Sus scrofa: one gene and its partners. The protein of the gene in region 2 interacts with the protein of the main gene of each other region in a pairwise test. Links are inferred from orthologs where the notes say so. Each region holds a gene or a part of one and is shown on either strand. Other genes may lie near its edges. The genes, in order: DDX19B, MIF4GD, DDX19A and EIF3G.

The links.
Region 1: the proteins of MIF4GD (region 2) and DDX19B interact in binary tests that used the Homo sapiens proteins (3 or more experiments, as listed by UniProt). The link is inferred for Sus scrofa from reciprocal best matches to the Homo sapiens genes MIF4GD and DDX19B.
Region 3: the proteins of MIF4GD (region 2) and DDX19A interact in binary tests that used the Homo sapiens proteins (3 or more experiments, as listed by UniProt). The two-hybrid records come from large-scale screens. The link is inferred for Sus scrofa from reciprocal best matches to the Homo sapiens genes MIF4GD and DDX19A.
Region 4: the proteins of MIF4GD (region 2) and EIF3G interact in binary tests that used the Homo sapiens proteins (3 or more experiments, as listed by UniProt). The link is inferred for Sus scrofa from reciprocal best matches to the Homo sapiens genes MIF4GD and EIF3G.

What each region holds. Positions count from the first base shown.
Region 1 is NC_010448.4:13,336,239-13,343,697, forward strand, and holds part of DDX19B (ATP-dependent RNA helicase DDX19B), read left to right. Parts: intron 1-3,628; coding exon 3,629-3,677; intron 3,678-4,356; exon of another isoform or gene 4,357-4,452; coding exon 4,453-4,506; intron 4,507-5,401; coding exon 5,402-5,537; intron 5,538-5,806; coding exon 5,807-5,899; intron 5,900-7,459. UniProt on the Homo sapiens protein: ATP-dependent RNA helicase involved in mRNA export from the nucleus.
Region 2 is NC_010454.4:6,043,864-6,051,964, reverse strand, and holds the start of MIF4GD (MIF4G domain-containing protein), read right to left. Parts: upstream 4,671-8,101; 5' UTR 4,487-4,670; intron 4,299-4,486; exon of another isoform or gene 4,072-4,298; intron 3,286-4,071; 5' UTR 3,242-3,285; coding exon 3,154-3,241; intron 2,000-3,153; coding exon 1,890-1,999; intron 1,688-1,889; coding exon 1,532-1,687; intron 1,431-1,531; coding exon 1,338-1,430; intron 517-1,337; coding exon 289-516; 3' UTR 1-288. UniProt on the Homo sapiens protein: Functions in replication-dependent translation of histone mRNAs which differ from other eukaryotic mRNAs in that they do not end with a poly-A tail but a stem-loop. May participate in circularizing those mRNAs specifically enhancing their translation.
Region 3 is NC_010448.4:13,364,957-13,373,215, forward strand, and holds the start of DDX19A (ATP-dependent RNA helicase DDX19A), read left to right. Parts: upstream 1-3,681; 5' UTR 3,682-3,805; coding exon 3,806-3,862; intron 3,863-6,621; coding exon 6,622-6,670; intron 6,671-8,259. UniProt on the Homo sapiens protein: ATP-dependent RNA helicase involved in mRNA export from the nucleus.
Region 4 is NC_010444.4:68,965,582-68,973,616, forward strand, and holds EIF3G (eukaryotic translation initiation factor 3 subunit G), read right to left. Parts: upstream 5,068-8,035; 5' UTR 4,975-5,067; coding exon 4,955-4,974; intron 4,815-4,954; coding exon 4,768-4,814; intron 4,225-4,767; coding exon 4,141-4,224; intron 4,033-4,140; coding exon 3,944-4,032; intron 3,784-3,943; coding exon 3,724-3,783; intron 2,731-3,723; coding exon 2,626-2,730; intron 2,527-2,625; coding exon 2,337-2,526; intron 1,637-2,336; coding exon 1,529-1,636; intron 1,420-1,528; coding exon 1,283-1,419; intron 1,200-1,282; coding exon 1,093-1,199; intron 755-1,092; coding exon 739-754; 3' UTR 640-738; downstream 1-639. Other genes in the region: P2RY11 (P2Y purinoceptor 11), read left to right, coding at 1-337. UniProt on the Homo sapiens protein: RNA-binding component of the eukaryotic translation initiation factor 3 (eIF-3) complex, which is required for several steps in the initiation of protein synthesis.

The DNA of each region.
Region 1 (7,459 bases), on a different chromosome or scaffold from region 2:
AATCTTTTAAATTACTTGTCCATATTGTACCTGGTTAAGTTTTGTGAATCTGTTTAATCACACACAGGTATATTATAATAGCTCCCAATATTCTAAAACTGAACAGATGAGTGAAGACCGTTGTTTCCTTTTGCCTTGTGGAATTCCTGACAGGTGACTGTGACATGTACAGTGCAAGGTTCCTATATTTTAAGTATCCATCAAGCTCTGTTTCTTAGTCATTTTAAATAAGAAAATATTGGATCCTATTTATGTTTATTTCCTCGTTCCCCTGTGGTTCCTCTTTGTTCCCCATATTCCTTCAGAAATTTCAATTTAGAGGAGGGCAAAGAATAGAAAACTCTGATGATAAGACTGTGTGTCCCATTTCACCATTGTGCCTAAGGCATTCCTTATTTGGTATAATTCCCTTACCATTAAGTCTTCCTCCTTGTGTCTCAAGAATCCTTTCTCAAGTATCTTTTGAAGAAAATGCAATGTAACTATATAGTTTCCAGTTATTTTAACATATCTTAAAAACTAAAATAATTAATGGCATTGAAAAATGTGGATATTATAAGGTGGGTGTTTTGGCTTTTTTGCCTTTTGGTTAGTTTTTTGGATTACAAAGTGGTTTCCAGTGAAGTTGCAAAAGAAATTGGTTTCTCTTTTTTGATTCAAATAAACAGAGCAGGAATTCCCATGGCGCAGCAGAAATGACTAGGAACCATGAGGTTTTGGGGCCTGGCCTCACTCAGTGGGTTAAGGATCCGGCATTGCCGTGAGCTGTGGTGTAGGTCGCAGACATGGCTCAGATCTGGCATTGCAGTGGCTGTGGTGTAGGCTGGCAGCTGCAGCTCCAATTGGACCCCTAGCCTGGGAACCTCCATATGCTGTGGGTGCTGCCCTAAAAAGCAAAATAAATAAATAAAATAAAATAAACAGAGCAAAGGAAGGAATCTGAACTGGACTTTCCACGTTTCAGTGTTCAGTTCACTGACATTGCAGTAAGTGATGCGAACGAACTTCACTGTTCTGTGCTTTTTGCTGTAGAGACTTTGAGATCCTTACAGCCAAGGGAGATCTGAGTGTGTTTTCAGAATCTGCTGGAAGCTCTCCAGAATTCTGATATATTGTAATCAAAACAACTTGATTACGTTGTTGCTATCAACTTTTTCTATACATCGCATTGTATTTATTTAACTTCAATTTTAATATATCAACAAAAGGATAGTTTGTCCTTTTATCACTGAGTATTAAAATGCTTTGGAAGTTCCCTGATTGCTAGCAGTTAAGGATTCTGCATTTTCACTGCTGTAGCTCAGGTTAGATCCCTGGCCTGGAAACTTCTGCATGCCATGGGTACAGTAAAGAAAAAGAAATGCTTCACAGGAGTTCCCTTCGTGGCTCAGTGGTTAACGAATCTGACTAGGAACCATAAGGTTGCGGGTTCGGTCCCTGCCCTTGCTCAGTGGGTTAAGGATCCAGTGTTGCCGTGAGCTGTGGTGTAGGTCGCAGACGCGCCTCGGATCCCACGTTGCTGTGGCTGTGGTGTAGGCCAGCGGCTACAGCTCCGATATGACCCCTAGCATGGGAATCTCCATATGCCACGGGAGTGGCTCAAGAAAAGGCAGAGACCAAAAAAAAGAGAAAGAAATGCTTTACAGCAAAGGATATTTCTAACTCATTCACACCTCATTAACTCATCTACATCTCAGCTATATCATTTATGTTAGATAGCAATTATTGGAGTTCCCGATGCCGCTCAATGGGTTAATGATCAGCTTGTCTCTTTGGCGTTGCTGGTTTGATCTCATGTTACAGTGGATTATAAGATCCGGTGTTGCTACACCTGTGGCGTAAGTTGCACATGTGGCTCTGATGCGATCTCTGGCCTGAGAGACCATATGCCACTGTGTGGTCGAAAAGGTGGGGGAAAGGTAGCAATTATTACCCTAGGTGTGAGTACTATTAACCCTACTCTTGTAAATATTGCCAGTAAGTCAGTCTGAATATTAGGCTTAAATGAGGTTCACTGGCCAGATGTAGAGGAGTGGTTTAGTGAAGATTAGAATATAGAGAACACCTCCTATACACCATACACTGCTGGTTGCCTCATTCACTCTGTTAATATGTTCTCTGTCCTTCAGAATTAATGAAGGATTGGTACTGCTTTATAATGATCTCCTTTTTCGACAATTTCCTTTCTTGCTAGTCTCTCCAGTGTGTTCTTGCTGCTTCCTCTTCCCTACCCCAACAGACACCAGAAACTCCCTTTTCACTTCCATCAGTAGAAGTGAAATTCTTCCATTTCCAGCTATCTACTCATTAAAACAGTTTTTTCATTCCTCCCCCACTTTCTCCTTTCTTGGACTTAGAGGAAAAGTAGAAATGAACCTCAAGACATAAAAAAAAACCCTGTGCAGGTGGTGCTTTAAGTAATAGCCATTTCAGGCAGTTCCCCTTGTGGCTCAGTGATAACAAATCTAGCAACCATGAGGACGCAGGTTTGATCCCTGGCCTCACTCACTGGGTTAAATTAGGATCTGGCGTTGCTGAGAGCTGTGGTGTAGGTTGCAGATGAGGCTCAGATCCAGTGTTGCTGTGGCTGTGGCAAAGGCTGGCATTTGCAGTTCTGATTCGACCCCTAGCCCAGGAACTTCCATATGCCACAGTTACAGCCTTAAAAAAAAAAAAAAAAAAAGTTCAAATCTTTCTTTGAACTGTCTTTGCTCTATCCCTTCCTTTCTAGTCACACTTCATCCTGCTGGGTATTTTGGTCACAAAGTGTGCCATGATGCTCTAGGCCATTTCCAGTTTAAAAAAAACAGACATCCAGCACAAGGTGACCCAAATGAGGCAGCATACACATGCTGTGGCCCTCCGGCTCAAACATATCCTGCAGCATCACTGATTCCCACCCATGGATGCTTTTCATTGCAGTCCTCCTCAGTGTTCTCTGTCTGAAGAATGAATGCATTTCTCAGAATCTCTTCTAAATTTCCTTGTTTGAAAAATGACAGTGATGGAGTTCCCGTCGTGGCGCAATGGTTAACGAATCCGACTAGAAACCATGAGGTTGTGGGTTCGGTCCCTGCCCTTGCTCAGTGGGTTAACGATCTGGCGTTGCTGTGAGCTGTGGTGTAGGTCGCAGATGTGCCTCAGATCCTGCGTTGCTGTGGCTCTGGTGTAGGCCGGTGGCTACAGCTCCGATTGGACCCCTAGCCTGGGACCCTCCATATGCCGAGGGAGCAGCCCAGGAAATAGCAAAAGACAAAAAAAAAAAAAAAAAAAAAAAATGACAGTGACAACTCAGATGGCATTTTATTGAGAGAATCTGTGTAATCAGGGCATTAAGCAAACTCACAAATTATAATTCTTTCTAGAGATTATAATTAGGAAGTATAGATTTTGAGCTGCTGTATAACCAGTTTTTTTCTACTGCTGTAGTTGTGGATATTTTGTTTATTCTCACTCTAACATGCAGTAAACAAAAGGGGCCCAGCAGAGCAACCTAGCGAATATGTTCTACTGAGAAGGTCATGAGAGTGGGTCACTTCTCCCCAGCTTCACTGGGTGAGGCACTACTGATGCAAAATCTTTTTAAGTAATTTTCCTGACACTCCCCCCCCCCATATTTTCCATTTAGTTGAGCAACTTGCATCTTAAGGACGAGAAAGTCAAACCAGATGCCAATGGTGAGTAACTAAATGCTAGTTTGAAAACAATTAATTTTATGTTTTAACATAACAGCTGTCCGGATTGTCTTGTATTGTGCTTTATATAAGTATGAGGATGCCTAATTGGTTAGTAAACCATGAAAATATATTGTCAAAAATTATTTATTTAAAAAAAATTCCTTAATTTGAGATGAGATAAAGTATGGGCAACCACAGGGTTAACCTACTGTAACTATTCTGAAATCTTATCTACCAAAAATCTAAGATTTACATTAAATTTTATTGATGTATTTAATATTATAGGGGAGAAGTAATATTTACCACACTCTGAATTATCTTTTTCTGTATATTTTTACGTAACCACAACACCGAATATGCATTTCTGTTAATCAACAATTTATACACACAGACTCTTAATGACACTATTGTGTTCATACATTGATAAAATGATTTACATAGATTTCCTCTTTTGGGTATCAAAGTAGTTTTGATCATTGCTGTAATCATCTTTCTATAACATTTGAGAAATATTGATGCTCTAAAGGAAATTAATATTAGTTTTTGAGGTATAGTGAGAGGCCTTGCAATAGAAAAGAGCTGAAATATAAGTAACAGTTTTCATACTTTTGTTTATATAGAAACAATGCAATGTTTTTATCTGTGGCTTGGTTTCCTCATTTATTTTTTTGCTCCCCAGGCCTTTACATTTCTAGTGTCTCATAGAATTTGAATTGTCTCAGCTGTTGGGTATGAGATGTGATTTTGAATGATGGCCACTTTGTGTCTGATAAAGGTGCTGTTGTCAAGACCAATGCAAATGCAGAGAAGACAGATGAAGAAGAGAAAGGTAACATAACCTCATTGGGTATACATGAAGTTCTGCAGTCTAAGAGAACGGAATGTTAGGAGATTTCATTTTTACACTCTACTTGGCTGGACTTTAATGGGAGTCACAGTGCTAATTAAAGTTCGGCATGGTCATTGGTAAAGGAATTCTAATTGTTTTCATTTATTTATTTATTCATTCATTCATTTATTTGCTTTTTAGGGCCGCATCCATGGTACATGGAAGTTCCCAGGCTAGGGGTCAAATCAGAGCTATAGCTGCCAGCCTACACCGTAGCCATAGGAACACCAGACCCAAGCTGCTTCTGTGTCCTACACCACAGCTCACAGCAACGCCAGAATCTTAACCCACTGATCGAGGCCAGGGATCGAACCCTCGTCCTCATGGATACTGGTCAGGTTTGTTAACTGCTGAGCCACGACAGGAACTCTTATAATGGTATTTGGACACATTTAACATGGATAACAAGATGCGAACAACAACAAAAGAGATTCCAGTAGCTTATCTGATATCAAGATACAGACTTTGTTGTTTCCTGTTGTTGTGATAAGATTTTTAAGCTCATAATTTTAAATTTATATTGAGTGCAAACTGGGGAGTGAATATTTGGGTTTTGATAGGAGGAATCAATAATCTCAAGAAAGGACAGCTGTTAGGAATGGAGTTCTGGAGAAGAATATGAGGTCTCAACAGATAAGAGTGTCATAATCTTTCCCTTTAATAAAACAAACTATTTTAATTATATTTATAAAGCAAAACTAACCTATACCTTGAATTAGGAGTCCTGATACAAACACATATTATTGCTTAAAATATTAATGGCGATTGAATTCATATGAACTCATGGTGGATTTCACGGATTTTTTAAAATCTTCACGCTCTTTTTTGCTGACAGAGGACAGAGCTGCCCAGTCCTTACTCAACAAGCTGATCAGAAGCAACCTTGTTGATAACACCAACCAGGTGGAAGTCCTGCAGCGGGATCCCAACTCCCCGCTATACTCAGTGAAGTCCTTCGAGGAGCTTCGACTGTGAGTATTTACTTTCTGACTCTCCCCTTTGGTTTAGATAGAAATCCTAGGCCTGTTATATCTGTTTTTCATCACAACAGAACATTTTTAGCTAACACAGGTTTAATGAAATAATTTAGCTGCTTTGGGCTAGTAAGTAAAATTTCCAGGTAATTTGTAAAAGCTGCACTCACACAGTGCCTGGTTCACAAATCTAGTATTGTTAGTTAGGTATTTGCCTCCTTTCCTCAACCAAAGAGACTATGACTTTCATCTTTAACTTTTCCTAGGAAACCACAGCTTCTCCAGGGAGTCTACGCCATGGGCTTCAACCGTCCATCCAAGATACAAGAGAATGCGTTGCCTTTGATGCTTGCTGAGCCGTATGTGTCTTGATGCAACTTGTTTTTTAACTTTTATTATTTAAAAAAACTACTACATGCTCATTTTAGAAAAATTAGAAAATGGAGTTCCCATCATGGCACAGCAGAAACGAATCCGACTAGGAACCATGAGGTTGTGGATTCAATCCCTGGCCTCGCTCAGTGGGTTAAGGATCTGGCGTTGCTGTGACCTGTGGTGTAGGTTGAAGATGTGGCTTGGATCTGGCATTGCTGTGGCTGTAGTGTAGGCTGGCAGCTGTAGCTCCGATTAGACCCCTAGCCTGGGAACCTCCATATGCTGTAGATGCGTCCCTAAAAAGCAAAATATAAATAAATAAATTAAAAATTTTTTAAAAAGAAAAATTAGAAAACAGTGAAAAACAGTAAAAGAAATAATTTGTAATCTCTACCCCTCCTAAACTATTAATATTTGGAGCTAGAAACTTCTAGATGTTTTTCTATGTAAATTTACATATGCGTATTTTTTCATTTTTCTTTTTTTTGTCTTTTTGCCATTTCTAGGGCTGCTCCCACAGTATATGGAGGTTCCCAAGCTAGGGGTTGAATCGGAGCTGTAGCCACCGGCCTAAGCCAGAGCCACAGCAACGCGGGATCCGAGCCATGTCTGCAACCACACCATAGCTCACAGCAACGCTGGATCCTTAACCCACTGAGCAAGGCCAGGGATCAGACCCGCAACCTCATGGTTCCTAGTCGGATTCGTTAACAACTGAGCCATGATGGGAACTCCTGCATATTTTTTTCTTAGTGGAACCATATAAAAATTTTTTGGTATGATAATTAAATGATAATCTTTCTATATCAGCAAATATATGTACATTTATATCATTTATATACACCATGACTTCATTATGTGGATAAGTAAAATATCTGTCAAATGTAGATGACAAAAACCAAACAGGGGTAGTTCCCATTGTGGCTCAGTGGTTACTGAACTCAGCTAGTATTCGTGAGGACACAGGTTCAATCCCTAGCCTCTCTCAGTGGCCTAAGGATCCAGCATTGCTGTGGCTGTGGTGTAGGCTGGTGGCTGCAGCTCCAATTCGACCCCTAGCCTGGGAACTTCCATATGCTGTGGGTGTGGCCCTAAAAAGACAAAAAAAAAAAAAAAAAAAAACCACCAAAGAAGGTTCTAGGAGACCAGAATAGTAGAGTTTCTAAGGTTGTTTTCTGATGCAGTTGCTTCTCACACTTTCATAGGTATATGAATCTCAGGAATTTCTTAAAATACAGCTTTTAATTTCAGTAAGTCTGAGGTGGGGGCTGAGGTTCACCATTTCTAATAAGCTCCCTGGTGGTGCTGCAGAAGTTCCCGACCCAGGGATGAAACCCGGCCCACAGCAGTGTAACGAGCCACAGCAGTGATGACACCAGATCACTGATCTACTGAGCCACACAGGAAGAACTGTCTATAAAAACTGATTCCTACATTATTATTTATTTTTTGTCTTTTTAAGGCTGCACCTGCAGCATATGGAAGTTCCCAGGCTAGGGGTCAGATCAGAGCTCCTACGTCACAGCCACAAAATCACAGGATCC
Region 2 (8,101 bases):
TAGCTGTTGCAGTGATGGTTAGTGCAGTGCTTGTCAGGAGTTGCCCTTCTCTGCCTGGTCCAGGTTGAAGGGGATGAGAGAAAGGCTGATGGGACTGGGGCAGGTGTGTAGGGTCTTCCCGTCCTGGGGTCAGGGAGGGAAGGTGCTCAGGGCCGCACCACCGTGTGAGTGGGAAACGTCTTGAGTGCTTTTGAAAGTCTGGAAGGTGAGACAAGGACCCCACTGCCAGGTTGGGGAGTGGGTAGGAGGAAGGCCAGCGCTGCTGGGGAGGAAGCCTGGTCTGGGGCCCTAGTCCGAGAGCTCGCTGTAGTAGTACTTGTGGGCAGCCGGGGTCGTCTTCCAGCCGGCCGCCCGGAACTCGATGGTCTCCAGCAGCAGCAGCTGGGCCAGGGAGCTGAGGCCCGTTGGGAGCAGGAAGCCATCCCGGATCAGGACAAAGAGCTCATCCATGCGCTGCCTGTTCATCTTCTCCAGCTGCTCCCCGACGCGATGCAGCTGCAGCACCAGGCAGTCCACCTGCAGGGGGCAGCGGGAGGTGACCCCGGGCAGAGCCAGCCTGTCACACAGAGCAGCCATTTACTGAGCACGTGCTGTGTGCCAGGCACCAGGGTTGGCCCTGTACACACGCTTCCCCACTTCATCCTCACAGCACCCCGTGGGCCCTGGCCACTGCTTGTGTGAAAGGAGCAAGTTGAGAGATTTGCCTGAGGTCTCTCAGTGGGCTAGGCTGGACTGGACTCTGGCCCTGTCTTCAAACTACTGCTTTTTTTTTTTTTTTTTTTTTTTTTTTTTTTTGGTCTTTTGTCTTCTTAGGGCTGCACTCTCAGCACAGAGGTTCCCAGGCTAGGGGTCTAATTGGAGCTGTAGCCACCAGCCTACACCACAGCCACAGCAACACGGGGTCCGAGCCCCATCTGTGACCTACACCATAGCTCTGGGCAATGCCAGATCCTTGACCCACTGAGCAACCTCATGGGTCCTAGCTGGATTCATTTCCACTGTGCCATGATGGGAACTCCTCCAAACTGCTTCTTAATCCTACTCCCCACCCCTCCCCCTATTTGGTTTCTGGGCCACCTGTACCCTCAGCTGGCTGATGCTCACCATTCCTATCATAGGTTGGCCTTCCTACTGGGAAGGCAGCCTCTGAGCCAGGAGGCTTTGGCTGTTCTCTGCTCTGGATGGATTCCAGACCTAGCAACTTCCCCTGTAACTGTGACAGGCCTTACATGCCCCCACCAAGCTCCTGCCCAGCAAGTGATGCCCTCGAAAGTCTCCATGGACAGTGAGCTGCGCCAAAGACTACCTCCCCAGGCTTCCGTGCCCAGGCCACCCACCTCCTCCTCCTTGCTCAGACTGTCCGGCTGGGCCAGCCGGAAGAGGCAGTCGTAGACCGGGTTCACCAGGGCCATCATGGGCATGTTGTTCACCTGCGGGGGAGAGTGAGCGCCACAGCACTGGCTTGGTGGCACAGGAGACAGGCCATCTCTGTTGCACGGGATGTGGCTGGTGGGGGTGGGGGGGCCCTCACCCTCAGGTAGTCAAAGATGTTGCAGATAAAGGTGACGTAGCAGACCCAGCCTTGCAGGGATCGTGCTCGAAGCTGCTCCCGAGCCTGGTACTCCTGCTGCAGCCGGTTGAGGAGTCCGCGGCGGAAGACACTCTGGCCAGCTTGCTTGCTCTCCGCCTGTGAGTGGGAGAAAGGCTGGTGAAGGGGCGTGACAGTGCTGTCACAATTCCACCCAAGCTTCTAAAGCTGAGGCCCCTGCTGTCCTCTTGTGCCTCTGAGGCCAGCCCTGTGCATCGCTGCCTGGCTAGCCAGGCCTCTGCCCACCTCTGAAGCACCTTCCTCCAAGCGTCTCCCCTCTGCTGTACCAACCCCACCCAACCTGAATGATGGCGTAGCACATGCGTCCTGCTTCCTTGCTGAACACACAGTCCTGCAGAGAATGGTCCACAATCACATTGGCCACCTTCTCCAAGTCCACGGCACCTGGATCTAGGGTAAAGACAGGTGGGGAATCTCGGGGTGCTTAATTATCACATTTGCCTCCACCTGCTTCTAAAGGCTCGTGATGTTCGCAGAAGAGCGAGCACTCCCGTGACGCCCTTCCATTTAAAGAGACCAGAGAACAGAAAGGAAACCGCACGCAGGAGCAGCTCTGGCCATGAGCCTCCTAGGGTGGCCCAATCAGCGGAAACAGGGAGGGTTACGCAGCTGTTAGGGAATGGAAGATGCTGGGTTTTTAGGACACATCTTTTCCTGGCACAAGGGTGAGGACGGAACCCTGAATAACAATGTCTTTGACAGCCGTCCACCAAAGGAAGTGTTCTCACAATGCACACATGAGCCCCCGACAAGAGCGGGCCAGGCGGGGCCTCCCCAGAGGCTTAGCTTGGCATGTGATAGGCATCGCTAATCGTTAGCTGAGGCAAACTTCTGTCCTGAGTGCTGCAGAAGGCACGGGTCCAGGACCACTACTTTCCTCCTCTGCCAAGCAGAACACTCCATCCTCTGTCCCAGGTCAGGCGGTGCTGCACACGGAAGAGAGCTGCTTGCAGCAACACAGAAACCAGGTCCTGTGTAAGGGCTTGAAGGGCAGGAACTGCGTCCTCTGTGCCTCGCCCTCCTGTCCTGCGTACGTAACCTTTTAAAAAAACGCTTTATGGAGTTCCCGTCGTGGCGCAGTGGTTAACGAATCCAACTAGGAACCATAAGGTTGCGGGTTCAGTCCCTGGCCTTGCTTAGTGAGTTAAAGGATCCGGCGTTGCCGTGCGCTGTGGTGTAGGTCGCAGACACGTCTCGGATCCCACGTTGCTGTGGCTCTGGTGTAGGCTGGTGGCTACAGCTCCGATTAGACCCCTAGCCTGGGAAACTCCATATGCCACAGGAGCGGCCCAAGAAATGGCAAAAAAAGACAAAAAAAAAAAAAAAAAAAAAAGCTTTATGATTGGAAGGGTGACTCTATGATTCATACTCCCAAATACTGGCCTACATGGGCTTGTCTTCCAGTTCCAGAATTATGTTGCTGACTCCCATTCTCAGAAACTGAAGGGAGAGGCCTGGGCGTTACGGCTCAGTCCTCCGGTCCTGTCCCCCTGGGCCCTTCTGTGTAGCTCTGGACCCAGGCTCGGGAGGCTCCCCGCGCTCACCTTTGAGTGCTGTCTTCAGCAGCTGCTGGCTCTCTGCATCAAAAGACTGGATTCTGTACTCCTCTCTACCAGGCTCCCCCATGACCATCCAGCCTCAGGTGCTCTTTACTGGGGTGGGATGAGTGACAGCACCTGGGGAGGAGCAGCGAAGGGAGAGGCCTTGGGTGTGGAGCGTGGCGCCAGGGTTCCCAGCCCTATGTGCCCTGGGCAGAACTGGCCAGTGCTTGGGACAGGTGCTCCTGGGCAGTCTTTGGCATTCAGGGCTTGGTTAGGTGCCCACAAAGCTTGGCTTCTGGTGGTGAGGCTGGCCAGGCACCTGCTGCTCAGTTAAAGAAGCCCTGCAGCTTCTGGGATTACACAAGAGGAAAGAGACCTCTACTCTCCAGCCCCAGCAGGAGGCAGGATTATTCTCAGCTGACACCAAGGCTGGGGTGAGGTGGGGTGTGATGGGCTGGGGGGATGAAGAGGTCGATAATTGGACACTTTTCCTGCCTATATACGCCGGTCTGGAAGCTGCTGGTCCAGCATGATTCTCAGCGAGTGAGATGGCTACAGGCTCCACGCTGTGGACAGCTCTGTCCCTGCAAAGTTCCAAGCCCCTCTCCCCAACTCAACCTTAGTCAAAGTCCTCGGTCCAGAGAGCCCACCCCTCCAACCCACGGGATAAGGCTGGCCAGAGGGCTGGGCGCAGAAGCGTCTCTGCCGCCCTGACGCCCCCTTTCCTGGCCAGCTTCTCCCCAGGATGGACTGGTTAAACTGGCCTCCTGAGTGGTAGAGACTCAGCCTGGCCCACCCAGGATTCCCAGTTCCTCAGTTCCATTCTAGATCCTTTCTCTTAAGGAGGGGAGCGGGATTACGTATCTTCCAGGAGTGGTCCCCCCTTTCCGGACTCGGAGATAGCCTTAGGGTTCTCCAGACCTGGGCAGCTTCCCTAAGCTCGGAACGCCCTTCCCGGCGGCTCAGCGCAGCCCACCGTCCGGTGTCCCGTGGGGTGGAGAGATGGTGGGAGCGCCAGGACCCACCTGCCACGCCGGCGCCGCGCCCGCGTGCCCAGAGGCCGTCCGGCTGGCATGGTGCGCGCGGCCCGCGCCCGCGGCGCTGCTGGCGAGGCCGGCCGCGCCTTGCTGCCGCTTAGGTCACTTCCTAGTGCAGGGGGCGGGGCGGGGCCCAGGGCAGGGGGGCGGGGCCTGGCCCGGCCGCCTCGCCGACGCCACCTGCCGGAGCCCCGACGACGCTGCCCCCGCCGCGCCACCGGGCACGCCCGGAAGTTCGGAGCTTGGAGCCAGGCAGGACGCCGGTGACCCTGCTCCCACCGCCGCTATCCTCTCCTCACCTGGTTCTCCCACGGCCTGTCCGGGACCACAACGGCTGCTCGGCGTTGGGCCCGATGTGCTCCGCGGCCGGCATGAAGCCCTCGGTCTTGAGCGCTGGCACCCCCCCCTTCGCCCCGCCCCCACACCAGGGCTCAGGTTAAAACGGGGTCAGGAGACTCGCCTGGCCGCGCGGTGTGGGAGGAGCCTGCGGGGGGCGTGGCCTTCAGCCCGGGGGGTGGGAGGGCCGAGAGGATGGCTGGAGGGGCAGGACTTCGCAGGTGGTGGCACTTTTACCCCCACCCCACCTCTCAAGGTGAGAGCGGGAAGGTGGTAAGGGCCGGATCGAGTCCCATTAAGCCCCTCTCCTACTCCAAATACACACGCTATTTAATGGTAAAACTAGTTGAAAATCAATGGGCTAACCCAAGAGAAAGGGTCCCAGGTGCCAGCTTGCAGAGGGGAGGTGTTAGGAGTGACCCTGAGGTTGCGCAAGCCCCCTGGCTCAGTCTGTCTTGGTTGGGGCTGGGGGGAGGCACGGGGCGCAGCAGTCCAGACAGGGCCACCCCTGAGGTCAGCCCTGGGTTGCAGGAGGGCACACAGAAGAGGCTGGCAAAGAACTGCCTTGTCCCATCGATTAGACAAGAAGTGTCCATGGCGGTTTTCTGTATCCAAAGCTCTCTCCTGTCAAGCTGGTCAGCAGAAAATGAACAAGGAAGACAGTCTCAGCAGAATCTCAGAATCAAGTTCACTTCAATGGAATTTCATAAAAAATACATTCAGGCAGCTGCCTCCCTGTAGCCCCAAGCCTTGACTGCCAAACCCCTGTGGGTGTGGGGGCCCCCCAGCCACAGCTGCCAAGAGCAGGACAGCTTCAGGATTCTGGGTCCCAGACACATCACAAAACCCCAGACCAGAGATGAAGCAGTAACGGCGTGCAGGAGCCCAGGATCCAGAGGGACTGAGAGCCGTGACAGCCCCCAAGACCACATGCTAGGAAGAAGGCTGGAGCTAGAGCCGAGGTGAGGCCAGCGTGGGGCTCCCTCTGCAGGGCCAACCCCTCAGGCCGAGCTCCCCTGGGGGCCTGGGCGTGAGGAGACCTGGGGGGGAGGTGGTGGTTATGTTCTGTAGATTTTCTTCACCTCTCAAACCCCTGTGCCCTGAAGACTCCAGGGCACCAGCTGTGCTCGCACCAGGCTGCCTGTTCAACCCCTTCCTTCTGGGATTACAGAGGACGCACACAACGCCTTGCTGGACCCAGGAGGAGCAGCCTGAGCAGGCAGCGGCTGCCCAGTGGCTCAGCTGTAGGCTCCCACCCACCCAGGAGAGCTGACCCAGCCCCCCAGTGAAAGAGGGGTGATCCCCGGTAGACCAGGGAAAAGGGGTGCTGCCTTTACCCACACCCCCTCCCCGTAGCACATCCCCCCAGTCTGCAGGGCTGCTTAGTATCTGCTTTCCCTCAAGGCCCACAGGCTGGGGCCAGGCCTGCCCAGAGAGAGAAGTGAGTGATGATGAGCTTTTTTTTAGGGCCACTCCCACAGCATCCACAGCATATTGAAGTTCCCAGGCTGGGGGTCTAATGGGAGCTGTAGCCGCCAGCCTACACCACAGCCACAGCAACGCCAGATCCTGGCCACATCTGTGACCTACACCACAGCTCATGGCAATGCCAGATCCTTAACCCGCTGAGCGAGGTTAGGGATCGAACCCACATCCTCACGGATACTAGTTGGGTTCTTAACCTGCTGAGCCACAACAGGAAGGCCCAATGATGCCTTCTAGACATGAAGATTTGAGCCTGGCTGGGTTTATAAAAGGAGCAACGCAGCTGGGATTCTTCACCCAGGAGCAAAAGCAAAGCTGCCTGGGGGATGCAAATGCTGAGAAAAATAGAATTCAGGAAAGTAGGAAAAAAAAATAAGAGAAGAAAATAACAAAAAAATGAATAAATAAAAGTAAAATTAGAAAAGGAAAAAAAAATTACAAGTGGCGAGCAGGGCTCCCTTCCCTCCTCCTTTGTGAAGGATGTGATGGATGGGGCGATGGAGAGAAGATACGGAGCCTGCTTCCAGCCTTGATGTCTATTAAGTGAGTCGGTGGGAGAGAGAAGTCAAGTGTGGGGACCAGACCCTGGAAAGGGCTGGATCCCTGCCTCACACGGGGGCTGCGGCTCCGCCCAGAGCCGGGAGAGTTCTCCGGGCAGACGAGGTAAGACATGCAGGAGGGCAGCTGTTGCCCTTAGAGTCTGTGCCAGGTGGCAGCTTCCAGCTTCTGACGGGCAGGGTCAGGTTCCCGCAGACCAAGGAAAATGCTGTCGCGTGGAGAAACGCCTCTGCCCTCCTGGTGGCGTCCGAGCTGGTGGAGTTACGGCTCCTGCCCAGCTCTTCGTGGTCAGGACAGCTGGCCTGGAGCAGGGTCCAGGCAGCACCTGATCGCAGCACAACCCGAGACTGTGGATCGAGTCTTCTCTCAGGAGGGCGTCTCCGGGCAAGGGGCCAGGCCACCCTTCCTGCTGTCCAGGCTAGCTGTCCGCCTTCCTCAGGCGGTGGAAGAGGTTACAGACGAGCTCATACCAGAAGAACACGAAGCCCGTGGAGAGGGCGGCCTTCAGCAGGCTGGGGGACAGGCCTTTGAAGAAGCCCTGGGCGCCCTCCTCTCGCAGCACCTGCCTGGCGCAGTCCAGGAGGCCCTTGTAGCTTCGAACCTGGGGAGAGAAAGCGATGGAGACACGGACACGGACTCGGTTCTCTCGTCAACACAGCCTGGGGCACTCAAGCTCCCGGAAATACTTGCCAGAGGCAGGAATGAACACAAAAAAGACAGAATAAGCCTCATGCTTGCTCTTCCAACTGGGCCAATGCAGCCTTAACCGATGAAGTGGCTGCACATCAGCACTGGACAGAGCTGCTTCCTGCCCAGGAGGCTCCCACGGCCAGGGGCTCTCAAGCACCCAGTGAGAGCTCTGGACCCACCGCCCAGAGGTGCCTCTGACGTGCCCCTGTCCCTCCTGGTCCCCTCGGCAGCAGATCTGAACCTGGCCCTCGTTAGCTCTGAGCCTGACCAGCGCCACCCCTCCAGCCTGGCCACCTCCAGTTGACTGCAAACTGTGACTCGGCGTGTCCCCGAGGCACAGCTCTGCTCAAGCCTTCCTCCCCTCCCGAAGCTTCAGGGACTCCTGATGACGAGGAGGATGACAGGAACGCGATAAAGAATCGAGCCGAAGCCCTGCAGCCTGGAGGCCAGGGCTTCCGTCATCTGGCCTCGGCCTGGGCCCCGGTCGGCCTTCGTCCCCCACCGCTCCTCCCGAGGCACCCACCCCCAGCCACACCTGCTGGCGCGAAATCTCTGTTGAGAGCAGGGCCTCCCCTCTTGGTCCTGGGCTCTCACCCACTCTCCCTGCCCGAATTCAAAGCATCTCTTCAAGACAAGTTGGTAAATGGAAAAAAAGGTGATAAAACCTGGTGTGTAACCCCGTTTCTGTTACAATGTACCTGCGTCTATTTATACAAAGGAAGAAAAACCTCAGCGGATCGGACCTTGGCGGTGTTGGGCTTAGGAAGGCAGGTCAGAGAAAGACAATGACTAACAAAACCGAAGCCACTCAGAGAAAACCAGTGGCTGGGGCAGTGGAAACGAAT
Region 3 (8,259 bases), on a different chromosome or scaffold from region 2:
ACAGCTCACAGCAACACCAGATCCTTAACTCAGTGAACAAGGCAAGGGATTGAACCTGTATCCTCATGGATCCTAGTCTGGTTCGGTAACCACTGGGCCATGAAGGGAACTCCTGCACTCTCCAATTTCTCATTTTGAGACCATGTTTCCTCCCCTAGCACACTTCAAAGCAGAAACAAAAATGTGGAGTTCCCACTGTTGCTCAGCAGTAACAAACCTGACTAGTTTCCATGAGGATACAGCTTTGATCCCTGGCCTCGCTCAGAGGGTTAAGGATCCGGCATTGCCATGAGCTGTGGTGCAAGTTGCAGATGCAGATCAGATCCCACGTGGCTGTGGCTGTGGCTATGGCTGGCAGCTGTAGCTCCGATTTGACCCCTAGCCTGGGAACTTCCATATGCCACAGGTGCTGCCCTAAAAAGCAAAAAAAAAAAAAAAAAAAAAAAAGAAAAGAAAACAAAGAAAGAAAAAAGAAAAGAAAATTTCAAAGACAGTGCCAGGACTTACAGATGATGTTAAGAATTTTTCACCTCCAGGATTCTAGCTATGATGGGCATGAGGAAAGACAGAAAGTTACTCAAACAGGAGTCCTCTTGGAGTTCCTGCTGTGGCACAGTGGGTTCAGAATTCAAATGCAGTAGCTTGGGTCACTGCAGAGGCACAGGTTTGTTTTGTTTATCTTTTCTAGGGCCACTTCCCATGGCATATGGAGGTTCCCAGGCTAGGGGTCTAATCAGAGCTGTAGCTACCAGCCTACATCACAGCCACAGCAATGCGGGATCTGAGCCTCGTCTTCGACCTACAGCACGGCTCTTGGCAACACCGGATCCTTAACCCACTGAGTAATGCCAGGGATCGAACCTACAACCTCATGGTTCCTAGTCGGATTTGTTAACCACTGCATCACGATGCGAACTCCGAGACAGGTTTGATCCCCAGCCCAGCACAGTGGGTTAAAGGATCTGGTGTTGCAGCTGCAGCTCAGATTCTATCCCTGGTCTGGGAAATTCCACAAGCCAAGGGCACAATTCTCTTTACCCCTGATGTTCCCTATTAGTAATTTTCCATCCATTGCCCTGCTCCTTGGCTATAAATTCCCACTTGTCCATGCTGTATTTGGAGTTGAGCCTAACCTTCCCCCCCCAACACAAAAATCCCATTGCAGTCATCTTTATACCTCTGGCGATGGTCCTGAGTAAAGTTTGCCTTATCATCTTTAGTAAGTGTCATCAAATACTTTTTTTTCCTTCAGAAATTCCACATCCTTAGCAACATGTGGCGGGTCAATCTTTAATTTTGGCCATTCTAGCCAGCGAGCAGTGGTATCTCATTACGACTGAATTGCATTTGCTTAATAACTAATGATTTTGAGCTACTTTGCTTGTGCTTACTGATCACTTACTCTCGTCTAAAGTGTTCAGGTCATTCATACATTTTGACATTTTGACATAGATGTTGCAATTGGGAGTGTGGACACGGAAGCAGCCTAAATGTCCATCAGCAGAGGAATGGATAAAGAAGACATGGTACAAACATACAATGGAATATTACTTGGCTATAAAAAAAATGAAATAATGCCATTTGCAACAATCTGGATGGACGTAGAAACCATCATATTAAGTGAAATTAGTCAGACAGTGAAAGACAAACATCAATATCACTTATATCACTTTATAAAAAAAGGATAAAAACAAACATATTGCGTAACAGAAACAGACTTACGGAAAAACTTATGGTTACCAAAGGGGATGGGGTGGGAGGAATGGACTGAGGATTTGGGTTTGGCATATGTACACTAGGTATATGGAATGACTGGTCAACAGGGACCTGTTATACAGCACAGAGAACTCTACTCAGTATTCTCTGATAACCCGTGTGGGAAAAGAATTTGAATTTGAAAGAGAATGGATATGTGTATATGTATGACTGAATCACTTTGTTGTACAGCAGAATTTACCACAAACGTGCAAATCAACTATACTTCAATAAAACTTTTTTTTAAAAAAAGAATCCAACTGCAGCAGCTCAGGTAGTTGGGAGGAGCAGGTTGATCCCCTGCCCTGCCCAGTGGGATGAAGGACCAGCATTGTCACAGCTGCAGCACAGATCACAGCTGTGGCTTCGATTCAATCTTTGGCCTGGATGTGCCACAGGTGGGGCCATAAAATAAAAAAAGAAAGAAATGTGTCCTAGAGTAATACATAATTTAAAAAATGTTATGGCCTCACTCCCGCATATAGAAGTTCCTGGGGCAGGGACTGAATCCCAGCCACAGCTTCAGCATCACAGGATTCTTTATCCCACTTGGGCCACAGTAGTAACTCCTAATGTTATATATTTTGAACTAAAATCATTTCGTTTGTTTGTTTGTTTTTTGTCTTTTTTCTAGGGCCGCTCCTGCAGCACATGGAGGTTCCCAGGCTGGGGGTCTAATCGGAGCTGTAGCTGCTGGCCTATGCCAGAGCCACAGCAACAGCAACGCGGGATCCGAGCTGTGTCTGCGACCTACACCATAGCTCACCTCAATGCCAGATCCTTAACCCACCGAGCGAGCCCAGGGATGGAACCCACAACCTCATGGTTCCTAGTGGGATTCGTTAACCACTGAGCCACGACGGGAACCCCTAAAATCTTTATTAGTCTATTCAACCATACATTAAAAAATATTTATTGAGAGTCTACCAAGTACCATGCACTTTTCCAGCTTCGTTAGTCAGCTGTGACAGATAAGAGCTTTGCCTTTGTTTGAAGAGTTAACATTTTAGTGGGGAGAGGCAAAAAGTAAACTGGAAACAAGATGATTTTAGATAGTGTGGAGACGTTCAATGAAGTGTTGTCAATTAATAACAGGACATGGGAAAAAACCTATATCCCATAAGAGGAGTAGAGAAAGGAGAGTTAGGTAATTTATGTGCTGTGAGACTGATGGAATATAACGACATTAAATCGATAATTATGACATTAAAAATACTTCGCCGGTATAGAAAAAGTCAAACTTAAAACCGTGTACTTTGTTTAGGACTATGTAAAACACCTGTGCTATGATGCACATGTACAGAAATTAGAAGGACCCAGGAGAAAAAGAATACGCTGTTGTACTTAGAATAGATTTACAAGGAGATCCTGCTGAATAGCATTGAGAACTATGTCTAGATACTCATGTTGCAACAGAAGAAAGGGTGGGGGAAAAACTGTAATTGTAATGTATACATGTAAGGATAACCTGACCCCCTTGCTGTACAGTGGGAAAAAAAAAAAAAAAAAAAAAAGAATACGCTGTTGTATTTTTTTGTGGTGGCATTATGGGGGTTTAAAGGCTTTTGCTTCGCTTTGGTTTTCTCTTACGCTTTATCTCGTTCGCACAGCAGAAACTGGTATGCTTCTAGGATTTTCCTTTGAGGAAAGCTTTACAGCTCAGAGACTAAAATATCTGTCATGACGCATGGAAGACTTAAAAAATAAAACTTACGTTATTTCAGTGTGACAGAGGGCAAAGAAGTGAAGGCTACAGGTTTCACTCCATACAGCTTAGGGCTCTTAAAGCACCAAGAGCTTGCTTCTTTGGAAACCGGCGGAAAAACATCGAGTTTGTGTACCAAGCCTGGCGGGCGAAGCCAGGGGAGAGGCGCGGCGCGCCGTGGCGCGCAATGGTGGCGTCTGGCGCCGGGCGGTAACTGACGTCACCTTCGCGCACCGCCGCTTCCGGTCCGCGAGAGTGTGGTTCTCGCGCTCCAGAGGATTAAAGTCTGGTGTTGCTGCGCTTGCCGTGGTTGTTTTCGCGTGTCGGCCTTCCAAGTCCGGGACAATGGCCACAGACTCGTGGGCGCTGGCTGTGGACGAACAGGAAGCGGCTGTGAAGTCGGTTAGTGTCTTCAGCTCCAGTAGGGGCGAACGTGACAGGGTAATAGGGCCCAAGCAAACCCTCTTTGGAGTCCAGGGAGCTCCCTGAGTTGGGCAGGCCCGTGGCCCACACACCCCTAAGGTTTGCTGTGGGGAATCTTAGGCCTGATTTTCGGCTAAGGCTGAGAGACTCATATGGAGCCTTTTCTCTTGATCTGTGCCAGTTAAAGACTTTCATCCTATGGCAAATCTATCCCTGGTAGTATGCTCTTTCCTGCATTGCACATTCTTCTAAGTGAGGATTGTAAGGAAAAGGCACATTTAGATGCTGATTCTTTTTCATGTGTTTTCGGAGTGATTCTGTGCTACTCTTACTAACGTTTTTTAGATGTGTGCTTAATACTGTTGGCATTTTGTAGCACTTTGCAGAATAACAGATTCAGCTTTATATTTAGTGTTTCGATCTGTTGCAAACGTTGGGGGAAGGCACTACAAAATTGTTTCATTGGTGTATGAAGTGACGTTTAATGTCATTACTGGATCTTTGATTAATGAAAGTCCATTCAACGGGAAAGTAATTATAGTTTAGAAACTGTAACTTTATGTTCTTATCTCTAAGCTACATCTGTTTAGTGGTAATGGACTATTGATTTTAAGAATACAGGGTTGTCTGATTGTTTTTGTTTTTTGTAGTCTGAAATCTTATGTAACCTTTTAATGTATAAATTACATTTCTTCTCCAGTCATCCTTTATTGCTTTGGGAGGATTTTCAGTTTCTCAGCAGAAAGTTGAAATGGACTAAATCCAGGAAAGAAGCTTTCAGTCTCGTTAGGAAGGCTAGAATGTGAGAAGTGCTGTGAAAATGGTGAGAAAAATATAATAAATGAACTCTGAGTGGGGAGAGAATGTTTATGAGTAGGAAAATCAGAGAAATTCCTTGTGAAGAAGTTTACGTTTGTGCTGGATAGTAGAGAATAATTAAGATGGAAATGAAAGTAAACAGCCTTTTAGAATGCACATAAGTGCTGGACTTCCATAGAGAACAGAAGTCAGAACTCATTTTTGCTGCAGCTTAAGGCTATTGGGTTGTAGTAGGAAAAGCGTAGAAAATAATGTAGAGAGTGTACTCTGGCCCTTAACTAAGAACTTAAAGAGGACAGCCTTTATTTGGCTGGTTTGGGATTTTTAAGGATACTGACAAGTTTGGATTTGAGAGCTGGCAAGATTTACTGGACTGCAAAGAATGGAATATTAGAAGTGATATCTAAAAGAAAGGAGATAATTGTGGAAGTTACTCTAATAGCCTGGAGATAGAGGGCCAATATTGAATGGTGAAAGTGAAGGTGAGGGGATAGATTCAAGATATAATTGTGGAGGTATAAAGATTTAGAAAAAAGAAGAGAAGGGAGATAAAGGCAAAGATTATTGTTTTCAACCTGGATCCCACAGGTGGTATTAATAATGTTCTAATAACACGATTGGAGGAGTGGGAGGAAGGGCAGATTTGATATGTAGAGTGATGAGTTCAGGTTTGGCTGTTGTGAATTTGAGGTAAGAAGGACAACTTGGTAAGTACCTGTGTTGGGAGTCACCAGGAGGTATCTAGGTTCAGTGATTTCCTAGCGGGGTGGGGGGGGGGGTTAGGGCAGTGAGCTTACAGGACCCAGCATGTAAGTATTCCCAGCTATGATTTATTACAATGAAAAGCAACATTAGCAAAAAGAAAAGGCCCATGTTGCAAAGTCCAGAGGCAACCAGGCACAAGCTTTCAGGAGTCCTCTCCCATTGGAGTCACAAACTCCACTTAATTCCTCTAGCCACAGATTGTAACAATACATATGAGGTGTTGTCAGGGAAACTTATTAGGGACTCAGTGCTCAGGGCTTTTATTGAGGGCCCATCACACAGTCATTCTTTGCCTAGCAGGTGCCAAAATTCCAGACTCCCAATAGGAAAGATGTCATCATGAACCACATGTTTTTATAAACATAGTGAACCCCTTAGCAGTTCTGGGGATGGTAGGAGGCCTCTCAAAATCCAAGTAGCCAGGGGCCAGCTCTGCAAGCTGACTTCCTGAGGATAGCAGTCATACCTGCTGTGTTAACTCTTTTCTGTACAGTACCCATCAGGCATATATGGAAGTGTGGCACTGGAGTTCAAGAGGAATCAGGTCAGATGTACAAAATTGACAGCCACAAATAAATCGAAAAGTAGCATATAGGATATAATTCTGTACTCTAGAGTTTAAATCTCATATTAGCACCAGATCTTCCGTAAAAGACAGTTGACTGAGAATTGGTTTCAAATCTTTTTAAACCTACAATCCTAATGTAGTTGTGGTATTATGGCTAACACAGATATAAACATACTTGGTGTCTGATTTTAACCGCTCTGCTTATTGGGTGGCTGGTGTAAGTTGATGTTTTAAAACATTGTTTCCTAGTAGTTGGGTAAGACCGTCCCCCATTTTTTTATTTTAGACTTGTGTACATTAGCTTAATAAATGCACTTGACCCCTGAGCAGTTTGGGGGTTATGAGCCCCCAACTCACCCTGTAGTCAAAAATCTCCAAATAACTTACATTGCTCCTCCGTATATATGGTCTCAAATCCTCGGATTCAGCCAGCTATGAGTTGAGTAATACTGTAGTATATATCCACGAATAAGTGGACCCTTGAAGTTCAGAACTGGTGTATGAAATAGAAAGGATCAGTTGTAATTCTTGGTATTCAGTTACCATATATCTCTGCTCTTAAGTGTTTCCTTTTATTCCCATTCAGATGAGTAATTTGCAGATCAAGGAAGAGAAAATCAAACCAGATACCAATGGTGAGTAACTACAAGCTACATGTGCATTTCTGCTCTGCGCTCTTAGTGACAATGTGGAAAGGAGCTTTCATTTAGCATATTTGCCACATGTCAGCACCTGATTTGAAAGCAAGTAAATTCAGTTTCATTACTGATCAGGATAGATTAGTTTTCCATATTTTACCTGGCTTCTGACTCCTTAAAATCAAGACTCTGGAGTTCCCGTCGTGGCTCAGTGGTTAATGAACCCAACTAGTAACCATGAGGTTGCGGGTTTGATTCCTGGCCTTGCTCAATGGGTTAGCGATCCAGCATTGCAGTGAGCTGTGGTGTAGGTTGCAGACGTGGCTCAGATCCCATGTTGCTCTGGCTGTGGTGTAGGCCAGCAGCTGTAGCTCCAATTAGACCCCTAGCCTGGGAACCTCCATATGCCGCAGGTGCGGCCCCTGAAAAGACAAAAAGACAAAAAAAGAATCAGGACTCACTATTGGATTGTACAGTCACTGTTCACTTAAAAATGTTTACGTTTTTTTATTTAGGTTTTTTTTTTTTTTCCTTGACTTTTTAGGGGCGCACCATGGCATAGGGAAGTTCCCAGGCTAGGGGTCGAATTGGAGCTGCAGCTGCCGTCCTACACCATAGCCACAGCAACACCAGATCCTTAACTCCCTGATCAAGGCCAAAGATCAAACTTGAGTACCCGTGGGTACTAGCCAGGTTTGTTACCACTGAGCCATGACAGGAACTCTCTAATTTAGTTTTTTGAAAGGTTAATCTGGGTTCAAATTTCAGAAATTATAGGCAGTTGAAAGGCCTCCTTCCTATCCTGGATCACCATTTACCCAGATTCCACTCCCCACCTGTATTAGTTTGCTAGAGCTTTTGTAACAAAGTATCACAAACTAGGTGGTTTAATAACAGAAATTTATTGTCTCAGTTCTGGAGGCCAGAAGTGTGAGATGGAGGTGTCAGGTGGGTTAGTTCCTTCTGAATGTTGTAAGGAACAGTCTAGTCTGTGCCTCTTCCCAGCTTCTCATGGTTTGCTGGCCATCTTTGGCATTCTTTGGCTTGTAGGAATCTCTGCCATCAACACCCCAGTCTTGGCCTTCATCTTCACGTGGTGGTCTCCCCGTGTGCATATCTATGTCCAGAAGTCCCCATTTACTTATTTATTTATTTATTTTTGTCTTTTTGCCTTTTCTAGGGCCGCTCCCTCAACATATGGAGGTTCCCAGGCTAGGGGTCTAATCGGAGCTGTAGCTGCCAGGCTACACCAGAGCCACAGCAACACCAGATCCGAGCTGCGTCTGCAACCTACAGCACAGCTCATGGCAATGCCAGATGCTTAACCCACTGAGCAAGGCCAGGGATCGAACCCGCAACCTCATGATTCCTAGCCGAATTCGTTGCCATTGTGCCAGGATGGGAAATCCCTAACCAGTCATCTTTTGACAGATGGTTGGTTGGTCACATTCTTTTGCAGTTGTAAGCAGTGCTTCATGGCACAACCATATGTGTATGCAAATATAAATTACCCCAAAATGGATATCCATGGTCAAAGGTATATGCATTTGCAGTGTTTATCACTATGTTCACAGTACCCCATCAGT
Region 4 (8,035 bases), on a different chromosome or scaffold from region 2:
CTACTATGTCACACAGGTGCTCAACGTGTATGCCCGGCAGCGCTGGAGGGCCCTCTGCCCAGGCTTCACAAGCACAGCCCAGGCTGAGAAGGCACTGGACTGGAGGACATATGTGGCCTACCAGGTAACACGGGGCCTCATCCCCCTGGCCATCTGCATCCACCCGCTGCTCTACATGGCGGTGGTGCCCAGCCTGGGCTGTTGCCGCCAACACTGCCTTGGCTGCAGGGAGGGCCAGACCCCGGAGAAGGCCGAGTGCTCCAGCCAATCCCTGCCACTCAATGTCACAGCTACTCCCAAAACCTCAGGGCCCCAGTCCCCTGAGTTGAGCCCATGACCTGGACCATCTCTAGCCCCCTCCTCATCACCAGATCCTGGGACCTGGCAAAAGAATAGGGGCTGAGAGCACAGCAGGCCCCTGGCCCTGAATCCTCAATAGGCCCTAAGCGTACTCCTCCACAGAAAGGTCTAGAGTGGGACCAGGGAGCACTGAAGCCAGAGTGGCAGGAACTTCTGCCACAGCACCAACTCTGGACAGGGCCAGGAAATAAACCCACATCAGGGAGGGGGAGGAAGGAGGGCAGGATGGCCCCACCCCCCAACAGTGTGAGCGACATCTGTGAATAAATGGAACAGCACTGGGCAACTGGAGATTTTTTATTACCCTTGGAGACCCCTGCCCCCAGCCTTCGGTCACTGAAGGATCCCAGGGCTGGGGACGGAGCAGCAGCAGCTGGCTTAGTTGGTTGACGGCCTAGAGAGAGAGAGAGACGTGAGGTGGCTGAGAATGGTTAGCGGAGAGGCTTCATACCCCTAAGAGAATCCCAAGACCCCCCACCGCCACACACAATAGGGACCTCAAAAGGGATGGGGGGTGGGGCAGAGTGAGACAAGGTGGTGGCCCAGGACACACAAAGAGACAGACCGGCAGTGACCAGCCTGGTCCTGCCCCAACCCTCCACACCAGAGGAAAAGGACAATAAATGATCTGTGCCCCAGGACAGGCATGGTGAATGTTAACCTGGTGCAGGGCCTGCAGCCAGCCTGAGTGTCAGCAGTGACGCTGTGTGGGGGGAGGGGCAGGGGTCTTACTTGGCCCACTCGACGTTGAGGATGAGGTGGTCATAACCGAAGCCAGACACCCCAGCAATAGCACGGGCGGCATCCTCACGGCGGTGGAAGCTAATGAAGGCAAAGCCCTGGAGGAGGGGGTGGAGTCAGGGGCACATGGGGCACAGACAGGACCAAGGATCCCTCCCCATCCCCATGGCCACCAGCCCACCTTGGACTGGCCAGTGGTCTTGTCCTTGGCTAGGTAGATGCGGGAGATGGAGCCAAAGGGCCGGAAGAGCTCCTGCAGGTCGGTCTCACGAGTGTCCTCAGACAGGTTGGTGACACGGATGGTGGCATTGTCATCGGCTGAGTGGGCAAGGAGAGGTGTCTGTGAGGGGCCGCGCCTGCCCGTGGGATGATCACAGGATACAGGGAAGTGCCCGCCCCCGCCGGCCCGGCAACTGGGTGCCCTCACCTCTGCGGTTGGGCTGCATGGACTCCCCGCGGCGGCTGGCCCCGTCCCGCAGGCTTGGAGGCACGTACTTGCCCGTCTTGTTCTGTGTGGCCTGCACAGGCTCCAGCTCTGGAGGACAACAAGGTCGGGTCAAGCCTCTCCCGGCACAGATGGAGGGACCCATCTGCCCCAGGATGCCGGCAGCTCTGGCCACCATCCAGCCCAAGAGCCGTCTGTCAAACCACACACACGGTTGGGCCCTTCGAGGCCTGAGGGCCACAACTTAAAAGTCACATCCGGGAAGCCGACGTCATTTATACACCCGCCAGCAGCACAAGAAGTGAGAACCCACAGTGACACCCAGTCTCACAACATAGGAACACAAATACAGGTACACGGGATAGGGACAGTCCCCAGGTTCCACCCCCTGTCCCCCAACACACACACGGCAGGTGACAAATGAGTCGCACACATAAGTCAGGGGCGTAGAGCTGTCCAGACTCAAACTTACAGTCACATGAGTGAGTCTGCCCTGGGTGTGTGCATGCAGACACTGCAGGCAAAGTGTATTTATTATGTGCAAGCCTACACGAGCCGCTCTCACAGCCCCTAATGAGGAGAGGACAGGGGACATCGCCAGCAGTCACAGCAGCCACCGCCAGTCTCTCTCATACACACACACAAGCATGGACTGTGGCTGCAGCCTTGCTGTTGTGTGGGAGATGACAACTGCCAACAGCGGTGGCCCTGTTCAGACAGCAGGTGACAACCTACAACTCTCCTGGAGGTGAACACAATCCCTGTCCCCCGAGTCCCCAGGCCCCAGCACCTCCAGGCAGCTTCTCCTTCTCGCCAGTAGACAGGCCCAGCTGCTCGGCCAGCTCCTTCTGCATGGGCCCCAGTGTGTCCTTGTAGGGGCAGCGGGTGGTCCAGTGGTCGCCCTTGCAGATTCGGCAGGACACGATCTTCTGGCCCTTGAGCTTGTTCATTGGGTCCTCCTCTTCCTGGCAGTTCAGATCCTGGCAGGGCAGGCAGAGGCAGCTCAGACGGGACTGCCGCACCCCCCGCCACTGCCGCCACCACCCTGGCCACTGGCCCCAGCCTCCTGGCCTACTTACCTCTTTGCTGGTGATGAATGTCATGGACACATCATCACTGACCGTGGTGGTGGCCACATTGGGCCCTGGTGGGTCGAACTCTGAGTTCCCAAACTTCTTCCAGTTCTGAGCTCAGGGTGGGATGAGAGACAAGTCAGAGCAAGGCCAAGCAGGACCCCTCTGCTGGCTCCCTAGACTTACAATGTCTGCTCCAGGGCCTTGAACCCCATTCTCCAGCCTCCCCCAAATGACCCTCAGAGCAGTGACAAAGACAGTTCCTGTTCCCTGAGCGCATGCCAGGCCCTAGCTTCACACCAGTTCCAGAGGCAAGGGCAGCTCTAGGCTCCATGCTCCAGATTAGAGGACTGAGGCTCAGGGACAATCCCCTCCACAGCCAACAACTCCTGCTGGGGTGGTGCAGGTAGCGGACCAGCTCCTACCAGGGAGTGATGCTCAAGGGTGCGTAGGGGTCACCCAGACTTCCAGGGGCCCAGAGCTAGCTAAGCAATCTGAACCCTAGCTGCCTCCTCCAGGAAAAGGGACCCCAATGGACCCCCACCTCCCTGGAATTCCAGGGGAACTGAATGGGAAAACGCTTCCTGCAAAGAGCTTGGGTCTAACGCAGAGAAAGCGCACAGGTAATTGTGCCAAATGTATTTACTGCCATGACTTTTTCTGCTACGACCATCTCAGGGGAGGACTTGGCTTTGTTTCTGCTGGCGGACAACCCCCCCTACTCCTGCACATGCTGGGCTTTTCAGGACCCCGACAGAGTGCAAACACCCTTAGGCCTCAGTTCCGCTCCAACAAAATTGGTACAGTTAAGGAGTTCCCATTATGGCTCAGCAGTATCCATGGCTTCGATTCCCAGCCTTGCGCAGTGGGTTAAGGACACGGCATCGCCCTGAGCTGTGGGTTAGGTCACAGGTGTGGCTACGATCACGAGTCGCTGTAGCTGTGGTGTAAGCTGGCAGCTGCAGCTCTGATTCAACCCGTAAACCGGGAACTTCCATATGCCCCGGGCATAGCCAAATAAATACAGGCACTGGGGAAAAGGATTCTTATTTTCTCTGAGTCAGCCCTGGGGGAGGCCCCAAGACAGGATGAGGAGGGTCTTACCTTCCTCCTTGCCACAGCCTTTGAGGCCTTCCGAGTCTCAATTCTGAAGGTGCGGACAATCTGTGGGTAGGAGAGGGGAGAAATTTGAGCTTCCTGCTCCTTAAGGTTCCGAGGGCCTGGGCCAGGGTATCTTCCTCATCAACCCACCCAGCACACACCACTTTCTCCTAGTCCAAGAGCCCCCAAGCAAAGGGCATCTACCTCCTCCCCCAACCTTCACCTTGAATTTCTTGCCGTCCTCATCTATCTTGTACTCGGTCACTGTCTTGATGTTTCCATTGATGACCTCCTTGGGAGGTGGCAGTGGAGCTGGGAGAGGGGGAGAGACAGAGGAACTGAGCCCTGGGTACTGGGGACCAGGCAGGAACTCTGCAGGGGAAGAGGCAACCCAGGGATGGCGGGGAGGTTGTCACTCACCTCCCGGTAGTAGTTCAGGCTCCGGGCTGGTATCCCCGGTGGCCAGAGGGATTCCCTTGAGGAGCTCGCTGGTGACACATTTGTCTGTGAGAGGGAGTGTGGGGAGCTGGGGTCAGCTGGGGGGTGGGGGAGCTCCCAAGCTGAAATGGAGGGACCTTTGGGATGATGCCCCTCCCGGGAGCTAAGAAAGGTGGGACCAAGGGTAGGGGACTAGCCAGGAAGTGTCCTGGGAGAGTCGTGCAGGGACATGGAGCTGACTGTAGTGACTTCCAGCAATGCCCGGCATAGAGGATCCCAGGCATGAAGGCAGGGGCGGGCCAAAGGCATCCCCGTGCTAGTACAAAGACAGGAGAGAGGCTGTGACAACTTCCTCCCCGGAGCAGGGGAGCAGCTAGGCTGGTACCAAGGACTTTGACGGTGGCATGGGAGGAAGAGGGACTGGCCGGTGAACAACTGTAATGGGAGATACAGGCTGGCCTGATGAGGATGGCGCGGGGCAGGGGCTGGCCGTGAAGGGAGATTCTGGGTCAGACAACGGCGCCAGGGTCGGGGTGGTGGGGTTGGAGCAGGCGGCAGTGACGGGCTGGGGGCTGGCTGCGGTGATCCTGGGCAACAGGGCAAACTCACCGTCCTCTCCCTCCTCCTCCACCTGGTCGGCCCAACTGGGCTTCGAACTGCGGGGACAAGTTTGCCGCGGGGGAAGGCTGGGTGAGACGAGGCCCGGATCCCACGGCCTCGGGGCACCCGAGCCCCATAATACGCCCTAGGACCCCCAATCTGCCTCCCAAGCCCCCCTCCACGACCTCATACTCACTCAAAGTCTCCGGTAGGCATAGCTAAAACCTTCCCCACGCAGCCCAAGCCTGGGCCAAAGACCGGAAGGTGGGGAGAACGAGACTTCCGGTTCTGCCGCCTAGAGCAGCCCGGCCGCTGCGCCCACAGTGCCGCCCTGTGGACAGAGGTAGAGGCGCTGGCTTATTAGAGGCTGGGCTCTGGTACTAGGTAGTTGAGTAGAGGCGCAGTTCTAACCATTTTTTTTTGGCCCCGCGGGTGGCGTATGGAAGTTTCCCCGGTCAGGTATCAAATCCCAGCCGCTGCTGTGACCAATGTCACAGCTGTAGCAAGTCCAGGTCCTTAACCAGCAACACCACAGCAAGAACTCATTTATCTTCTTTTTTTAATTAATGATTTTTATTTTTTCCATTATAGCTGGTTTATAGTGTTATGTCAATTTTCTACTGTACAACGAGGTGACCCAGTCACACATACATGTATACATTCTTTTTTCTCACATTATCATGCTCCATCATAAGTGACTAGATATAGTTCCCAGTGCTGTACAGCAGAATCTCATTGCTTATCCATTCCAAAGGCAATAGATTGCATCTATTAACTCCAAGTTCCCAGTACATTCCACTCCCTCCCCCTCCCCCTTGGTAACCCCAGTCTGTTCTCCATGTCCATGATTTTCTTTTCTGTGGAAACTTTCATTTGTGCCATATATTAGATTCCAGATACAAGGGATATTGTAGAGTATGTGTCTTTCTCTTTCTGACTTATTTCACTTGGTATGAGAGTCTCTAGTTCCATCCATGTTGCTGCAAATGGCATTATTTTGTTCTTTTTTATGGCCGAGTAGTATTCCATTGTGTATATATACCACATCTTCTTAATCCATATCTGTCGATGGACATCTAGGTTGTTTCCAAGTCTTGGCTATTGCAAATAGTGCTGCAATGAACATATGGGCGCATGTATCTTTTTCAAGGACAGTTTTCTCTGGATATGTGCCCAAGAGTTGGATTGCTGGGTCATATGGTAGTTCTATATATAGTTTTCTAATTCATTTACCTTTTAAAAAATTTAAAGTTATTAATAACAGGAGTTCCCATCATGGCTCAGTGGAAATGAATCTGACTAGAATCCATGAGGATGCAGGTTTGATCCCTGGCCTTGATCAGTGGGTTAAGGATGCAGCGTTGCTCTGAGCTGTGGTGTAGGTCACAGACGAGGCTCAGATCCTGTGTTACTGTGGCTGTGGCGTAGGCCAGCAGCTACAGCCATGATTCAGTCCCTAGCCTGGGAAACTCCATTTGCCACGGGTGTGGGTTAGGCCCTAAAATCTCCGTATGTTGCATGGTGGTGGATGCGACCCTAAAAAGACAAAAAAAAGTTATTAATAGCAATAAAGCTCAGTTATTGAATTCTGCGAGAACTGTGGAGAGAAAATTATTTCCATTTTACAGCTGAAGAAACCAAAGCTAGTCTTCCTTGTTTGGGAAGAGCTTTCCTACACTTGATCTTAGCCAAAAGGCCGAGAAGCGATGGAAGAGCTTTCCTGATTCAAAATGATCAAGCAGTCAAGTGGCCCCTTCAACCATTCTCCCTCCTTTCCTTTTTTTCCTTTTAGAGCTGCACCTGCAGCATATGGAGGTTCCTAGGCTAGGGGGTCTCATCGGAGCTACAGCTGCTGGCCTACACCACAGCCACAGCAACGCCATATCTGAGCTTCATCTGCGACCTACACCACAGCTCACAGCAACACTGAATCCTTAACCCAGTGAGTTAGGCCAGGGATTGAACCCACATCCTCATGGATATTAGTTGGGTTCCTTATGGCTGAGCCACTATGGGAACTCCATCTTTTTTTGTTTGTTTCTTTTTTTGGCAGTTCTCAGGCCAGGGATGGAACCTGTGCCACAGCAGTGACCAGAGTTACAGCAGTGACAACACCAAATCCTTAAGCCACTGAGCCACTGGGGAAAATCCCTCCCTCCTTTAGTAACATTCTTGGCTTCTCTAATATAATCTTTTCCATTTACTTGTTTATAATCCAGCTGTCCCCCTAGAGCATTCTCAACGGGAGTGATATGGCTCCCAAGAGAGCCAAAATAAATTCTTAGATGGCTTAAAAAAAAACCTTAGACATTGTGATGGCTTATAGCCCTCCTAAGCCAACCCTCCAGGACAAAATATTACTTATGAATATTTAATTTCTATTGTTAGGGGAAAATTAAATGTAATTAGATTAAATTGATTTAAATTAAGGATAGGAGTTCAGTTGTGGCTCAGTGGAAACGAAACTGACTCCCATCCAGGAGTTCCCATCATGGTGCAGCGGAAACAAATCCGACTAGGAACCATGAGGTTGTGGGTTCAATCCCTGGCCTTGCTCAGTGGGTTAAGGATCCGGTGTTACCGTGAGCTGTGGTACAGGTTGCAGATACAGCTCAGATCTGGTGTTGCTGTGGCTCTGGCGTAGGCCAGCAACTGTAGCTCTGATTAGACCCTTAGCCTGGGAACCTCCATATGCCACAGGTACAGCTCTAAAAAGACAAAGGACAAATAAATAAATTAAATAAATTAAAAAACAACAAAACTGACTCCCATCCATGAGGATGCAGATTGGATCCGTAGCCTTGCACAATGGGTTAAGGACCTGATGTTGCCATGAACTGTGGTGTAGGTTGCAGACCCATCTCAGATCCCATGTTGCTGTGGCATAGGCCAGCAGCTATAGCTCCAATTCCACCCCTACCCTGGGAACCTCCATATGCTGCATGTGTGGCCCTAAAAAGACAAAATTAATTAATTAAGGATAATTCCATTTCTCACCTAGAAAGGAGCAATAATGAAAAAATAGTTGAGAAAAACTGCTCACGAATGCCAGCTGCAGAAAGCAGACATTTGCCTATTTGGGTCATCTCTGGGTCCCCAACACCCATGGGGTGTCTGTACTTAGTATGTGTTCAATTAATGGACATTTGGGATGGGACAGGAACCAGATTATAAATAACTTTTTTTTGGCCTCATCTGTGGCATTTGGAAGTTCCCAGGCCAGGGATTGAGCTCATACCACAGTAGTGACTAGAGCCACAGCAGTGACAGTGCCAGA